Tamandua tetradactyla: one gene and its partner. The protein of the gene in region 1 purifies or fractionates together with the protein of each later gene. This does not show direct contact. Links are inferred from orthologs where the notes say so. Each region holds a gene or a part of one and is shown on either strand. Other genes may lie near its edges. The genes, in order: RMP64 and RPP25L.

The links.
Region 2: the proteins of RMP64 (region 1) and RPP25L purify together in Homo sapiens (affinity purification with mass spectrometry; 3 studies listed by BioGRID and IntAct, with this or other methods). This does not show direct contact. The link is inferred for Tamandua tetradactyla from reciprocal best matches to the Homo sapiens genes RMP64 and RPP25L.

What each region holds. Positions count from the first base shown.
Region 1 is NC_135336.1:33,773,999-33,782,297, reverse strand, and holds the start of RMP64 (nucleolus and neural progenitor protein), read right to left. Parts: upstream 3,828-8,299; 5' UTR 3,707-3,827; coding exon of another isoform or gene 3,704-3,706; intron 1-3,703. UniProt on the Homo sapiens protein: May play a role in cortex development as part of the Notch signaling pathway. Downstream of Notch may repress the expression of proneural genes and inhibit neuronal differentiation thereby maintaining neural progenitors.
Region 2 is NC_135328.1:61,312,893-61,321,179, forward strand, and holds RPP25L (ribonuclease P protein subunit p25-like protein), read left to right. Parts: upstream 1-5,682; 5' UTR 5,683-5,755; intron 5,756-5,769; exon of another isoform or gene 5,770-6,069; intron 6,070-6,460; 5' UTR 6,461-6,494; coding exon 6,495-6,986; 3' UTR 6,987-7,296; downstream 7,297-8,287. Other genes in the region: DCTN3 (dynactin subunit 3), read left to right, coding at 3,624-3,683, 3,885-3,974. UniProt on the Homo sapiens protein: May be a component of ribonuclease P or MRP.

The DNA of each region.
Region 1 (8,299 bases):
ACCCTACTACCTAACCCCAAAACAAGCAAAAGGAAAGAAATAATGAAGATTAGAGCAGAAATAAATAAAATTGAGAACATGAAAACAATTGAGAAAATCAATAAAGCCAGAAGTTGATTCTATGAGAAAATCAATAAGATTTATGGACCCTTAGTGAGGTTGACAAAAAGAAGAAGAGAGAGGATGCAAATGAATAAAGTCAGAAATGGAAGAGAAGACATAACCATGGACCCCACAGAAATAAAGGAAGTAATGAGAGGATACTGTGAACAGCTTTCTGCTAATAGACTCGACAATGTAGATGAAATGGACAACTTTCTAGAAAGGCATGAACAACCAGCATTGACTTGAGAAGAAATAGATGACCTCAACAAACCAGTCACAAGTAAAGAACTGAATCAGTCATTAAGAAGCTCCCCAAAAAGAAAAGTCCAAGACCATGGCTTCACATGTGAATTCCACCAAACATTCCAGAAAGAATTAGTACTAATCCTGCTCAAACTCTTCAAAAAATTGAAGAGAAGGGAAAGCTACCTAATTCATTCTATGAAGCCAACATCACCCTCACACCAAAACCAGGCAAAGATATTACAAAAAAAGAAAACTACAGACCAATCTCTGTAATGAATATAGATGCAAAAATCCTCAACAAAATTCTACCAAATTGAATCCAGCAACACATTAAAAGAATTATGCATCATGACCAAGTAGGATTCATCCCAGGTATGCAAGGATGTTTCAACATAAGAAAATCAATTAATGTAATACACCATATCAACAAATCAAAGCAGAAAAACTGCATGATCATCTTGATCGATGCAGAAAAGGCATTTGACAAAATTCAACATCCTTTCCTGTTGAAAACACATCAAAGGATAAGAATAGGAGGGGACTCCTTCAACATGATAAAGGGATATATACAAAACCCACAGCTAACATCATCCTAAATGGAGAAAAACCAAAAACTTCCCCCTAAGATCAGGAACAAGACAAGGATGTCCACTATCACCACTGTTATTCAACATTGTGTTGGAAATTCTAGCCAGAGCAATTAGCCAAGAAAAAAATACAAGGCATCAAAATTGGAAAGGAAGAAGTAAAACTTTCACTGTTTGCAGATGATATGATACTATATATCGAAAACACTGAAAAATCCACAGCAAAACTACTAGAGCTAATAAATGAGTACAGAAAAGTGGCAGGTTACAAGATCAACACTCAAAAATCTGTAGTGTTTCTATACACTAGTAATGAACGATCTGAGAGGGAAATCAAGAAAAAAAATTCCATTTACAATTACAACCAAAAGAATAAAATATTTAGGAATAAATTTAACTAAAGAGACAAAAGACCTTTATAAAGAAAACTACAAGAAATTGTTAAAAGAAATCACAGAAGACCTAAATAAATGGAAGGGCATACTGTGTTCATGGATTGGAAGCCTAAATATAGTTAAGATGTTAATTCTACTACCTAAATTGATTTACAGATTCATTGCAATACCAATTAAAATCTCAAAAACATACTTTTCAGAAATAGAAAAACCAATAACCAAATTTATCTGGAAGGGCAGGGTGCCTCAAATAGCTAAAAGTATCCTGAGAAAGAGAAATGAAGTCAGAGGTCTCATGCTACCTGAATTTAAGGCATATTATGAAGCTACAGTGGTCAAAACAGTATGGTTTTTTGATTTTCAGTAGACTGATATTCAGTAGAGCCCAGACTTGAATCTATACTGCCATATATCACAGCCGAGTTATTGATCAGTTCTAGTTTGCTAGCTCCTGGAATGCAATATAACAGAAATGGAATGACTTTTAAAAAGAGGAATTTAATAAGTTACAAATTTACAGTTCTAAGGCCATGAAAATCTCCACATTAAAGCAAGTCTATAAAGATGTCCAAACCAAGGAACCATCAAGAGGTTACCTTCACTCAAGAAGGGCCAATGAGTTCAGCATTTCTCTCTCAACTGGGGAGGCCATGTGATAAACATGGCCACAGTCTGCCAGCTTTCACTCCTGGCTTCTTGCCTGTGAAGCTCCCCGCTGGGGCATTCTCATTTTTCATCTCCAAAGGTTGCTGGCTAATGGACTCTGGTTCTCTTGGCCTCATGGCTGTACTTGCCTCTGCTGTGGGTTTCTTGAGGCTCCAAAAAGGGACTCTCTCCAAAAATGTCTCCTCTTTTATTGGATTCCAATAATTAATAAAGACCCACATAGAATGGGTGAAGACACTTAAGTGAATCACATCTCTGTGGAGATAACCCAATCAAGCTTCCAATTTATAGTACTAAATAGGAATTAGAAGAAATGATTGCTCCCACAAGGTTGATTAGGCTTAAAACATGGCTTTTCTAGGGTACACAAACCCTTCCAAACCAGCACAATCACTATGGTATATTGCTTTTGTTATTAAACATTAAGAGTTTTTAATTTATTGTTTGATTAGCTGTCTTCACCACTAAACTACAACCTTTTAAAGAGAAATGATCATGTGTGTTTGTTAATTGTTGCTTTTCAGTACCTAACAAAGTGCCTGGCATATAAGAGACGCATGATAGATACCAATCAAATGAATAAGCCAAGTGACTTAAGGAAAAGATAGGGACAGAGAGAATGAAAAAAAAAAAAAGGTTATTCCTCCTTTCTTGTTTTACTGCTTTGGGATAGGAGAGAAAAGAGTATTTTGGAGAGGGCAGAAATCTTCCCATATGTAAAGAACAAAGGTCAATCAAGAATTAATAGTTTCCGGGGCAGGCCATGGTGGCTTAGCAGGCAGAACTCTCGCCTGCCATGCCAGAGACCCAGGTTCGATTCCCAGTGCCTGCCCATGCAAAAAAAAAAAAAAAGAATTAATAGTTTTTGAAATGTTTTTAATTCTCACATTTCAAAATATGCCCACATGGGGGAATTAATTTCCATAGCCCTTCTTAGCTGCTTATAACTTATTTAAATCCTAAGAAAAATTCCTTAGAAAGGAATATCCAAATTTGTGCCAATAGAATATTTTTATGTTCAAGTCTTGTTTTTCCTTTAAATTTTAGTTAGATCCCCTTTTCCCCAGTTCATCTACCCCAAAACAGCTGGAACTAATCTGTTTCCTCTCCAAACTCCCATCTCATTTTTATCTCTAGTTCTCTTAACCCTAGTCATGGTATGCCTACTTCTGGATACATTTGTGATCAATTCTGTAAGTTCATGCATGTGATGTGGATGTTACATAGTGCTGGCACATGGGTTCTCAGTAGGTATTTGTTGAATAAACATTGAGAGAATAAGTCAACTAATGAGTAATGTAAGCCTTCCAATGTGAGTCTGGCACTAGTCTTGCATTAAGTATTTTTTAAGTTCGGCAATTACAGTAGCCCGAGTTGTCGCTACAAGTCATTTGAAAGACCTGTCATACACTTAAACATAATGTGTTAGTTTTCCACACTAGTCTCCAAATATTTTCCTTGATTCTAAAAACTATTCTGTCATAGATTTTAATTAAAAATGCAGGAAGCAACCAAGATGCACTTCCATAGGTGAATGGATAAATAAAATGGGGTGCACTCATACAATGGAGTATTATTCAATGGTTAAAGGAAATGAGCCGTCAAGCCACACACACACACACACACACACACACAAACAAAAAGTGGGGAAACCTTAAATACACATTGCTAATTGAAAGAAGTTAGTCTATAAAAGGTACACACCATAGAACTCCAACTGTAAGAGAGGAAAACGTGAAATTCTAGAGACAGCAAAAAGATCAGTGGGTTGCCTCAGGTTCACTGGGAGTGGGGAAGAGCTGAATAGGTAGAGTACAAGAATGATTATAGCAGTGGAACTATTCTGTATGATATCATAATGGTAGATACATGGCATTATGCACTTGTCATAAAGGTGCACTTGTATACCTTTAATGTAAACTGTGGTGTGGTTCTTTGAAGCTGTTTTGTACCCCAAGAAAAGGTCATGTTCTTTTAATCCATTCCTGTGGTTGTAGACCTATTGTAGGTAGAACCTTTTGATTAGGTTATTTCAACTGAGGTGTGACCCACCTCATTCAAGGTGGATCTTAATCCTCTCACAGGTGTCCTTTAAAAGAGAGAGACAGAAACTAGAAGAGATGAAATTAAGAGAAGCTCAAAGAGAAAAGTCCTAGAGAAGCTAAAAGAGGACCCACAGATAAAGAGAGAAGTCCCTGAAGCCAGAACTTAAAGCTACAAAACCCAGGAGAGAAGAACCAATAGACACCCATGTGCCTTCCTATGTGACAGAGCTGTCCCGGATTCTGGCAGCCTGTCTTCAAAGTCCAGATATTGTCCCACTGATGCCTTGAGTAGGCATTTTCATGGCCTAAGAGCTGTAAATTGTAAATTAATTAATCCCCATTGTAAAAGTCAACTGATTTCTGGTTTATTGCATTTCATCAGCTTTAGCAACCAAAACATGGACTTTAGTTAATAATATGTACCAGTATCAGTTCATCGTTGTAACAAGTGTACCACAATAATGCAAGATGTTAATAATATAGAAAATTATGTGTTTGGGGGTGGGTTTATGGGAATACTGTTGTGGTAGTTAGATTCAGTTGTCAACTTGGCCAGGTGAAAGCACCTAGTTCTGTTGCTGTGGGCATGAGCCAATTGTAGGTGAATCTCATCTGTTGCTAATTACATCCGCAGTCGGCTAGGAGGCGTGTCTGCTGCAATGAGTGACGTTTAACTTAATTGGCTTGTGCTTAAATGAGAGAACGCAATGTAGCACAGTCTAGCAGCTTGGCATTCCTCATCTCAGCACTTGCAGCTCAGCCCGGGCCCTTGGAGATGGAGAAAGAAATCACCCCGGGGAAAGTTGTTGGAACCCAGGGGCCTGGAGAGAAGACCAGCAGAGACCATCCTGTGCCTTCCACGTAAGAAAGAACCTCAGTGGAAAGTTAGCTGCCTTTCCTCTGAAGAACCAACAAAATAAATCCCCTTTTATTAAAAGCCAATCCGTCTCTGGTGTGTTGCATTCCGGCAGCTAGCAAACTAGAACAACTGTACTTTTTGGCAGTTTTTCTGTAAACTTAAAACTGCTCTAAAAATGAATATTATTTTTAAAAAGTAAGTGTGCTTCTACATTGCTATACATTTTTGAGAATTTAGGCATTTTTAGAGCTTTTGAAAATTAAGTATGTATTTTTTTAATGAAGTTTTCGTGCAAAAGTCTCAAGGGAACAGCTTCTCACTTGCATTGAGAAACTCTGAAAATGTATAAGTCTAAATGAAATGTATGTTTCATTTGAATTCCTGGAGTGAATTTTGGCTTTGATTTTTATCGCATTTATATGCATGAATTTCAATTTAGGATCTGGGCTGTCAGAGAATTACAGTTTTCCTGGGTCAAATGTCAGGTTGTTGCTTTTCAGAATTGTTTGAAAGTAACCTTACAAGAATCATGAAAGTATCTCAAGATAGCTGAAATGACACTTGAGGAAAAGGGACAATTTGGAGAAGAAATGGGTTCACAGCAAATAGAAATAAGAATTATATCCAGAGCCAAGATGGTCTCCAAGTTTCATTTCCCTGAAGAATGAGCAAAGTACATTGCAACCTTTCCCCATCCACGGGACAGCAGGCCACCTACAGCTAAAACACAGAGCAGAAGGGATTCTGCGTGATTCGTGGCACAGCTCCAATTTCCTTGTTGGCGTTTCTGATGTCAATGCCCTCCACTGCCTAAGATCTGAAAAATGGGTGGAAATTTAAGCACAGTTGCCAAGAAAGCAGACTTTTATGAAACAACCATACAAACTCCACTCACTTAATGTATTTTTTTTCTATATTAACTGTTAGATTCCCATCTTAGGTAACCTAATAGCTTTAACTGCAGTTATTTCTCATAGGCCTTTATGCTGACATCTTAACTGCATTTGCTCAGAAAATAAAAATCCAACACCTACAACCCTGGTACTTATGACTTGTTCATTACCCACCTTTTCCACCAGATGGCAGCCAGAGGTTGTGCCTTGATTATCCTCTCTAAATCTGTCTTTTCTGACTTCATTAGAACCCAAGAAGAGAGACTTAATCTACATTCTCTCCAGCCGATAGAATTCCTGTTCCACAACCTCAGACAGAATGAAGACAATTCGATTTATCTCTGGCAGAAGAGATTCAGATTATCAAAGAAACATTTCATAGGAAAGTAAATACATATGATTTTAAGATTGGTCTCTGAAGTGGAATAAGGTCTCGTGACCTGAAGGCATAGTTTTGAATAAGAGTGCCATAACCTCAATTTATTTTAGAGTTACAGAATCTCAACCTGGAAGTGGCTAGACTCAAAACTTAATAATTTGAGTTTCAAAAATTAATAATCAGATAATTAGATGTACTTTCTCAACATTAAAGATTTAATGCCCAAGAATTGGTCTTGGAGAAAATGGAATCATTATAACTATTTGGCAGCATTGAGGCAAAATTTCCACGTCAAATTTATAAAGTGTATAGCGATTTGGTAACTTGTTTTGCTTTCTTCTTTCTTGCCATGTACCTCCTAAGAGCTGGGCATGGATCAGTAAGTTCCCTTCATGTGGCTGCCAGCAAGTCTGTGCCTGATTTGGCAAGTTTCTGCAAAGGTACCAGTGCCTCTAATGGAACATAACACCTCAGTGTTACCCCAAGGGACAGGGCCAAGCCATGCTTCAGTGTCTGCTGCTGAACTAAGCCCCAAGCATCTTCTCTGCCAAAGAAATGGTTACTGGAACCTTTCAAATGTTTGCTTTGGGGACTATATTGTTCATAAAATTTTAAAAAAAAAAAAAAAAAAAAAAAAACTTTGTTCTTTGTTCTTTACTCTGTACACCGCATTTCCAAATGACCCGTCTGTGCACCCATATTTATCTACAAAACACACGTACATGTGAACACACATGCCCAGAAACAAAAAGTTTTCAGCTATAAGAGTCATGGTCCTTAAAATCTTTCTCCTTTGCACCAATATTTATTGCTGTCTATTCTCATTAAATATATTATGTGAGATGCCGGCATGGCAAGAACTGCCTCAGGGATATATAAGAAAATATCATCGGGGCAATAAACAGATGTATTCAAATAGTGACAGTATACTAAAATGTGACAAATATAATACATGAATCCCATCTAACTCAGTCAACTCTAGAATAAAAATAAAGGATATTAAAATTAGTATTTAAAAATCTCCCCCCATGAGCATGTAGGCTCCATGAGAACAGGAATTTTTAACTGTTTAGTTCCTTGCTCTATTCTAAGTGCCTCAGACATTTCAGATGTTCAATTAATATTTGTCAAATAGTGAAAATACTTAAGAAATGTACCACATCAGAGACCAACATACTATCTCTTACGGTAAGTCCAACTCAGACAAACATTTTTCCCCTCCAGCATTAAAATAGATCATGGTTTCTTCAGTTGAACACAAGGTAGTAGTTACTTGGCTTGGATTTAGGGACAATGTTGCATATACTTAACAATCATATTCATAGGGGTAATATGTTCACTCTAGGAAAACAGTGAGCACAGTTAGTGACTGAATAAATGGCAGATTCTCTTCCCTTCTAGTATTTTCTAGGAGGTGGAGTTGGCAGATCTAACAGATAAAAATACTGGATGGTGAGATAAACAGAATTTGCATGGGACATTCTTATACTTAAAAAAATTAATTGTCTGAAATTCTAAATTAACTTGGTGTCCTGTATTTTATCTGGCAGCCCTACTCTGGGGCATATGCCTTCTGAACCTAAGGATGGGAAAATTGTCTGATTTCTAAATTGCAATCTCTCTCTCTCTCTCTCTCCACCACCCCCAAATACGGGATGTATCCATTTAACTTCAGTGTGTGAATGCCACTGTAGTATGATAACAGTGAATTCCGTTAATCTCTTAAAGTGCACCATCAACAAATCCATTATTTTTCAATGTTCCCTGAGCTAAAAATTTAGGGAAACACTATACAGTGTTTAGTAATGTGCTTGATCTGAATGAAGAGTCTGCCTTAGAACCTTATTCCTCCCCAATACTTTGAGAAATGATTTCTGGGAAGATGTTTTTGTTTAGAACGTTAGAAATAAGCTTAGGAGGCTCTAAATTTCCTATGTAGCCCCTGGCTAATTATCAATCTCTTAATGATAGGGTGGATCTAATACCTGATTCTGGGGCTGGAGCAGGAATTCCTAAAGAGTGTAGAAGGAAGCACTTCCACAACTTAGATGAAAGGTACTGAACTGAGTGATGAAAATACAAACTCAGCTTTTTCAACAAGAACAGGGCTTGGAAAAAATGATC
Region 2 (8,287 bases), on another chromosome or scaffold:
GCTAGAAGGCTTAAATATTTTTTTATCACCACAATGAACTTTTTTTCTTTCTTTTTTTGTGAAAAATAACATACATACAAAAAAGCAATAAATTTCAAAGCACAGCACAATTAGTTGTAGAACATATTGCAGAGTTTGACATGGGTTACAGTTCCACAATTTTAAGTTTTTTACTTCTAGCTGCTCTAAGATACTGGAGACTAAAAGAATATCAATTTAATGATTCAGCAATCGTATTCATTTGTTAAATCCTATCTTCTCTGTATAAGTCCACCATCACCTTTGATCTTTCTATCCCTCTCTTTAGGAGTGTTTGGGCTTTGGCCATTCTAACTTTTTCATGTTGGAAGAGGCTGTCACTAATATGGGGTAGGGAGATGGAATTAGCTGATGTTCTGGAGAGGCTGGACCCTGTAGGTTTCAGGACTTTTCTGGTCCAGGGACCCATCTGGAGGTTGTAGGTTTCTGGAAAGTTACACCAGTGCATGGAACCCTTTTTGAAATCTTATATATTGCCCTAGGTGTTCTTTAGGATTGGCTGGAATGATCCTGGTTGGGGTTTGGCAGGTTATGATAGGTAGCAATGTCTAACTGAAGCTTGCGTAAGAGTAACATCCAGAGTATCCTCTCATCTCTATTTGAACTCTGTCTGCCACTGATACTTTATTAGTTACACTTCTTTTCCCACTTTTGGTCAGGATGGAATTGTTGATCCCACAGTGCCAGGGCCAGATTCATCCCTGGGAGTCATCTCCCACATTGACGGAGAGACTTTCACCCTTGGATGTCATGTCCCACATAGCGGGGAGGGCAATGATTTCATTTGCAGAGTTGGGCTTAGAGAGAGTAAGGCCACATCTGAGCAACAAAAGAGGTCCTCCACAAGTAACTCTTAGGCATACCTACAGGTAGGCTAAACTTTTCCACTACCTACATAAGCTTCACAAGAGTAAGCCTCAAGATCAAGGGCATGGCCTATTGATTTGGGTGTCCCTATAGTTTGACACGGTAGCAGGGGATTTCCTGCTGGTAAAGTTTAATAGTTGCATATTTTTGCTCACATTCCTCAAGGTACTTTGTCAATAGTTTTTGATGATCTGTTTAATATACTCTAGAATGTATCCAGGCATTACATTAAGCTATACAGGATTAAAGGACCTCTTTCTTATTCTGTGCTCCCTGTGTTTGACTTGTTCAAATGAGCTATACAGATAGGTTGAGTTAGATTATGTGCTACAGAAAATTTGGGTTCCAGACCAAATAAACCTTTCTTCCTTTGGTCTCAAAGAGTATTTGTGATTCTAAAATAAAAACACTTAATCCCAACCTGATTGGCTTCATTCTTATCTCTAAATATCAGGTTATTTATATCCAGTAAATTTATATCCAGTAAATATTTTTAAAAATATTTACTTGCTTCTTTGTATTGCCTTCTTTGATTCCCCTTTTCTTTCCTTATATCTATATTTAGTTATTTTCATAATGGTAAAATTGTCATTTCCATTAACTTCTTAACTAATAACCACCTAGTTTGACTAGTACTAACCTAGTCTCAGACATATATAAACTCTCTATTCCTATATATATTCATCGCTTCCCCTTTATATGTTATGCAGATTACATCTTTTTACACTGTGTGCCCATCAACCTAGATTTTAAATATTTTTTTTTACACATTTGACTGTTAAATCATATAGAGGAGGATAAAAGCACTTATAAACCAAAAGTACAATAATACAGGATTTTATATTAACCTAGGCAGTTACCTTAGGAATGTTCCTTATTTCTTCTTATGGCTTAGAGTTACTGTCTAGTGTCCTTTTATTTCAGACTGAAAGACTTCCTTTACAATTCTTGTAGGGCAGATCTTATGGTAATGAACACTTTTAGCTTTTGTTTATCTGTAAATGTCTTGATTTCTTCTTCATTTTTGAGGGATAATTTGCCGAATTTAGAGTTCTTAGTTGACAGTTTTTTTCTTTAAAGACTTTAAGTATGTCGTCTGGCCTCTATGGGTTCTTTTGTGGGGGATGGTGCATGGTCGAGAAATAGAACTCAGGTCTCCCACATGAAAGGCAAGCATTCTACCACCAAACCACCTGTGTACCCCCTCCATGGTTTCTGCTGAGAAATTCACTGTTTATCTTATTGGGGACCCCTTGTATGTGACAAGTTGCTTTTCTCTTGCTGCTTTTGAAATTCTCTTTTTGTCTTTGGATTTTGACAATTACACTGTAATTTTTCTTGGTGTAGAGCTCTTAAAGTTCATCCTGCTTGGAGTTTGTTGAGCTTCCTTGATGTGTATATTCATGTCTTTTATCAGATTTGGGAAGTTTTTGGCGATTATTTGTTCAAATACTTTTTCTGCCCCTTTCTCTCTCCCTTGTCCTTCTGACACTCTAAGGATGTATACGTTGGTATACTTGATATCACACAGATACCTCACGCTCTGTTCATTTTTCTTGATTATTTTTCCTTCCTGCTGTTCACACTGGACACTTTCAGTTGTCTTCTTTGCAAGTTTGCTGATCTTTTTTCTGCCTGTTCAAATCTGCTACTCAATCAGTCTACTGAGTTTTTCATTTCCATTACTGTACTTTGTAGCTCCAAAATTTGTTTGCTTCCTTTTTATAATTTTCATTTCTTTATTTTGTCAGACATTTTCATAATTTCCTTTAGTTCTTTGTATATGGATTCCTTTTATTCATTGAACATGTTTAAGACCGTTGATTTAAAGTCTGTGACTAGTCATTCTAATGTATGAGCTTCCTCATTATGGTTTCTTACAAATTTTTTTTCCTGTGAATGGGCCATACTTTCATCTTTCTTTGTAATTTTTATTGAGAACTAGACATGCTGAGAATTATGTTTTTTAACTCTAGAAATCTAGTTCTCCCACTCCTCTGTGATTGCTAGGTTTTTTGTTTGGTTTTGTTGTTGAGGGCTGGAACCATCAGTTTGTGACTTTTCCAAACTATTTTTGCTTCCAAATGAGGAATGGAAAAAGACAAGAGAAAAAAAAAAGATACTGCCTCTTTAAAAGCCCTCTGCTGCTTTTGCTTTGAGGAAGGATGGAACAATAGCTGTCTTCAAAGCCAGTTCCCCAGCAATCTGAAGTAGCTGATCCAAAGCAGTGAGCAGTGATCAAACCACCACCACCACCACCACCACCACCCCAGGCTTTGGAGGACTTAGTCCTTATATCCTTCATGGCACTATTAAGCTGCACCAGGAGCCTGGGCTTTAGTCCCCAGTACTGCCTGCCACATGATTGGGGGATGGGAGATAGTAGATACTGCATGGATGGTGAAAGTCACAGATATTTACCAGCTTCTTCCTCTGGCTGTTTCCTAAAATAATTGATTCAGATAGTTCCTGCCAGCTCAGTATTTGTTTTGGGCATGGGGGAGGCAGAGTGTTGGGAATGGTTATTGGTCTTTTTTACTACACCATCTTCGTATAATCCTCCCCATCCTTCTCTTCCCTTGGCAATTTGTTCCTTCATTCTGGGGTTAAGCATCACATTTTCTGGGCTGTATGGGGAGTGGGGGTCTCTGGTGAGCAGGAAGTAGGAGGTGGGGTTTTTGCCTAACTCCATTCTTTGCCCCTCCCTGGCCCCGCAGGACCAGTGTATGGAGATCACTGAGGAGTCCAAGGCTCTCCTGGAGGAATACAACAAGATTGTATCCTTTCTGCTCAACCAGGCCCCTAATGGGTTCTGTCCCCAAGCCCCATCCTTTTGTCCCACATCAATTCTCTCAGCCCTTCCCAACCAGCCTGTCTATTCCCCTGTTCCCCCACCCCACCCATTTTGGCTCACAAGAAGTCTCTCCAATCCCTCATTTAAATTCCTGTTCTTTTCACCTTGACTTGTGTGTGAACAGACAATGCTTCTCTCCAAGCAATTTGTGCAGTGGGATGAGTTGCTTTGCCAGCTAGAGGCTGCCAAGCAAGTGAAACCGGTGGAGGAATGATACTGCTCCCCATCCCAGGATGGCCAGGCTCCAAGGCCCTGTTCCAGCTGCCTCTGTAGCTGTGCAGAGGCAGCTTTCTATATTTATTGGACCTACAACCACCTGTTCACACTCAGGTGGGGCTCTGAGGCCAGAGATCAGGGGTTACCTGGGATTTGCAATTTGCACCACCCCCCAGTCAGTGCCCTCATTTCAGTGACAATAAACTATAAATACCAATGGGAGTGTGCTGGCTTTTGTTCTAGCATGGGGGTGGTGGAGCGCAGAGCTGACAACCAGCCTAGTGGTTGGACTGGGAACTACACTCATCTTGGTCTGTCTTTCAAGGAGGTGTGGAGCTCTCACAGTGGAGGCTCCCATTTGATTCTTATGAGTGGCACATTCTTTTATGCATCTATTTATCCTATGTCTAAGCACCAACTAAATGCCAGACCCCATACATGGTGGGAAGGAAGCAGGTAGAACCCATTTAGGGGAGAAGCCAGCCAAGGAAAAAAGCAGTCACACCAGATGGTCACAGGGTCGTTTGGTCCAAAAGAGGCTAATAGGGGAGGCAGGCCTGGTGGGTGATAGGCTATGATTTTGAGAGCCAAGGAAGCAGTATGTATAAAGGCAGAGAGGTGCCTTGAAGTTTCTTTCCTGGGAACCTACTTGGTGCTATTAGTTGAGAAGGGGAGCCCCAGAAGAGATGGAAGGTTTGGATATCGAGAGTTTTAGGTTCTGGGGAAAGGGAATTGGGAAGGAGATGGGGGAACGTGATGAGAAACAGCAGGGAGAGACTGAGCTCTGTACCAAACTCCAAAAAGTGTTTGCTGCCCCCTTGTGGTCTCAAAGAGTACTCTGGCTTCAGACCCCTTTCCAACTGCCTGCCTGCCACCCCACCTACGCGGGTTCATTAGCCTCAAATTCAGCCTGTCAAAACTGGTCTAAAACCTGAGAATCATCCTAGACTCTTCCTTCCTTCCTTCGTTTCTTCCTTCCTTCCTTCCTTCCTTCCTGTCTATCCAAACAGTCGCCAACTTTCTACTGAATACCTCTTCTGTATCTCCCAACCTAGTCTACTTCTCTTCATTTCCACTGCCATTTCTATTTCATTCATTCAACAAATCATTTAAAAAATAACGGAGCGTCTGGTTAGCCGCTGGCCACGGTAACAAGCTCCATGACACGGCCCCGGGACCCCGCGGCCAAAGGTTACCAGCGGTTGCGGCTCGATTTCCCCCACCAACCTCTTCTCTGTGGCTACAGTGAGCTGTGCACACGACCTGGTTCAACTGGCCCGTGTTGAAAACCCCTCCGTGGCTCGCCAGTTCCCACAGGATGAGGTTGAAATTCAGAACTCAGTAATCAAGTGTCTTGCCTGTGCAGCAGCAGCCACTTCCAACTAAACCTTTTGCTCCCTTTGCTATTGCCGTGTCCGTTAACTGCAGTTTTCCCATCTTCCAAAGGTTAATCCTCCCCATGCTTCAGACTCTGAACTCCTCTGAAGGCCGTCCCTTCTATCCACAAGGCTCTTTCCTCCTCACCGTCCCACCTGTGGGAGTGCCTCTGCCCAGGGCGTGGCAGCGGATACCTTGCGCCTGCACCCAGTCCCGGGCGTCCTAGCTCTGCTCAGTCTGGGTGTTCTGAATGGTTCTCAGTTGCCACTGCAGAGAGGCCGGGCGGGCCGCGTTGCCTCCGGCCCCGCCCCCGAGCGGCGTGCGCGGCCCCGCAATTTCGGCGCGCTCCCGGACCGCGCGCCATCTTAGCTCTGGACCCGGCGTGTGGGGCGCTGCGGCGCGGTGAGAGTTGGGACCTGGTGGGGTGGGGGGCGCCTGGACGTGGAGGTGGAGAGAAGGGAGGGCAGGCGGGTTTCTCAACGGCTGCGGCCCTCGGGGTACTGGGAGCGGCTTGGCGGCGAAGGACACTGTTGAGACCGGCCAGGCCACCGGTTGACGTCAAGAACACGCTAAGCAGCCGCCGGTGTCGAACCTCTGCTCCTTGAGTGACCTGAGCTGAGAGAGATCGACCCTGGGAATCTTGGGGTCGGGGATGTCCCGCCTTGTGCAGGGGAGCCCCGAGTGGAGAGGTCGGTTCTCTTCTTGGGGGGCCCTAGGTGAGGACTCTTGGCTCTGGCGTGCGGAGAGGGAACTTGACAAGGACGCGGGGGCCGGGCCCTGTGCCTAGGATCCCAGAATGAGGACACCAGTCCCAGGCTTAGGGAGCTTGGGATGTGGGTGCTTGATGCTATCTCAGGGGCTCCAGAATGGGGGCGGGGATGGGGACGGTATGGCTTTGTCCGGAGGAAAAGGGAACAGGAAGTATAGGGTACAGTCCATCCTAGAGTGAGGCAGACATGGTCCATGTCCTGAGATGCTGAGGATGAAGTAATATGGTCCTGTCTCCTGGAAGTCTAGGGTGAGGAGTAGGGCTGTGTCCTGGAGAGTCAGGGTGGGGGATGACCTGGGACACACTGCCTAGCACTCATATTTGATACTTCCCTGCAGTGTGCAGCAAGAGTCGCAGACGTGATCAAGCAGTATGGAGCACTACCGGAAAGCTGGCTCTGTGGAGCTCCCAGTGTCTTCCCCAATGCCTCAGCTACCTCCTGATACCTTGGAGATGCGGGTCCGAGATGGCAGCAAAATCCGCAACCTGCTGGGACTGGCACTGGGTCAGCTGGAAGGCGGCAGCACCCGGCATGTGGTGTTCTCAGGTTCTGGCCGAGCTGCAGGGAAGGCTGTCAGCTGCGCTGAGATTGTCAAGCGTCGGGTACCAGGCCTGCACCAGCTCACCAAGCTACTCTTCCTGCAGACTGAGGACAGTTGGGTCCCAGCCTCACCCAACACAGGCCTAGACCCCCTCACAGTGCGCCGCCACGTGCCTGCAGTGTGGGTACTGCTTAGCCGGGACCCTCTGGACCCCAATGAGTATGGCTACCAGCCCCCAGGGGCACCCCCTGGCCTGGGCTCCACACCCAGTTCCAGCTATGGCCCCCGACCCCGAAGAAGGGCTCGAGACACCCGATCCTGAGGACATGCTGAGCCAGGCTGTTTTCCAAGCCTCAGTTTCTGGGATGGCTGTGCCTTCTTCCAGAATCCTTTCCAGTTGCTCAACATCTCCAACAAGACTTGGATCCACAGAAGTGGCTTTGCTGTCCTTCCTCTGCCGCCTGAAATATGATAAGGGTTTGCTATAAAGAGTAACAGGTGTTAGGTCTGGATTCTGGATTACTTAAGAAGGGCCCATGCTGCTTTCCACCTATAGTGCCTCTGCTCTGCCTTTTGGACAGCGATCCAGGGAGTGAGTTAGGAAATAAAGGTTCTGCCCATTTGTCTGATGAGCCATTGCTCAGCCTGATGTGTGGAGGTGGAATTGGGGGAATGGATGCCCTTGCCTTCTGGGAGCTCATGGGCTGGAGACAGATATAATAGGCTCAGGCTTGTGTGGGGATGGTCTAGAATCTATGAGAAACTTAATAAGCCTGAATATATCTAGGCTTCTGGGTGACTGCCTGCCACCTGCTTTGGGTTGGTTTAGGGACTCTCCCTCAGGTCAGACACTTTTCTATCTGCGGACATATCTTATGGAACTTAGGCACCAGGCTGCTGGGATTTGAATCCTGGCTCAACCACTTAATTGTTTTGTGACCTTGGGCAAGTTACTGTTCTGAGCCTTAGTATTCTCTTCTGCAAAATGAGATTTAGTGCTTATCTCATAGAGTTTTTATTGTTTTTTTAAAAATGTTTTTGAGATATCTTCATATATGTACAATCCATCCAAAATATGTAGTGGGTTACAATATCATCACATAGTTGTGTATTCATCACGATGATCATTTTAAAAATATTTGCATCACAACAGAAAAAAAAATAAAAAGGAAAAGCCCATACATCCCATACCCCTTATCCCTCCCTCTCATTGACCACTAGTATTGCAATGTACCGCAATTTTTTTTTATCCCTTATACATCCCCCTCACATTTATTTTTTTGTCCCTTTTTTTTTTTACTCATCTCTCCATACTCTGGTAAAGGGAAGTGTCAACCACAAGGTTTTCACAATCACATAGTCACATTGTAAAAGCTATATAGTTGTACAGTCATCGAGAATCAAGGCTACTGGAACAGTAGTTCAACAGTTTCAGATATTTCCCCCCAGCCATTCCAATATACCACAGATTAAAAAGAGATATCTATATAACACATATGAATAGCCTCCAGGATAACCTCTTGACTCTGAAATCTCTCAGCCATTGAAATTTTATTTTGTCTCATTTCTCTCTTCCCCCTTTTGGTCAAGAAGGCTGTCTCAATTCCATGATACCGGGTTCTG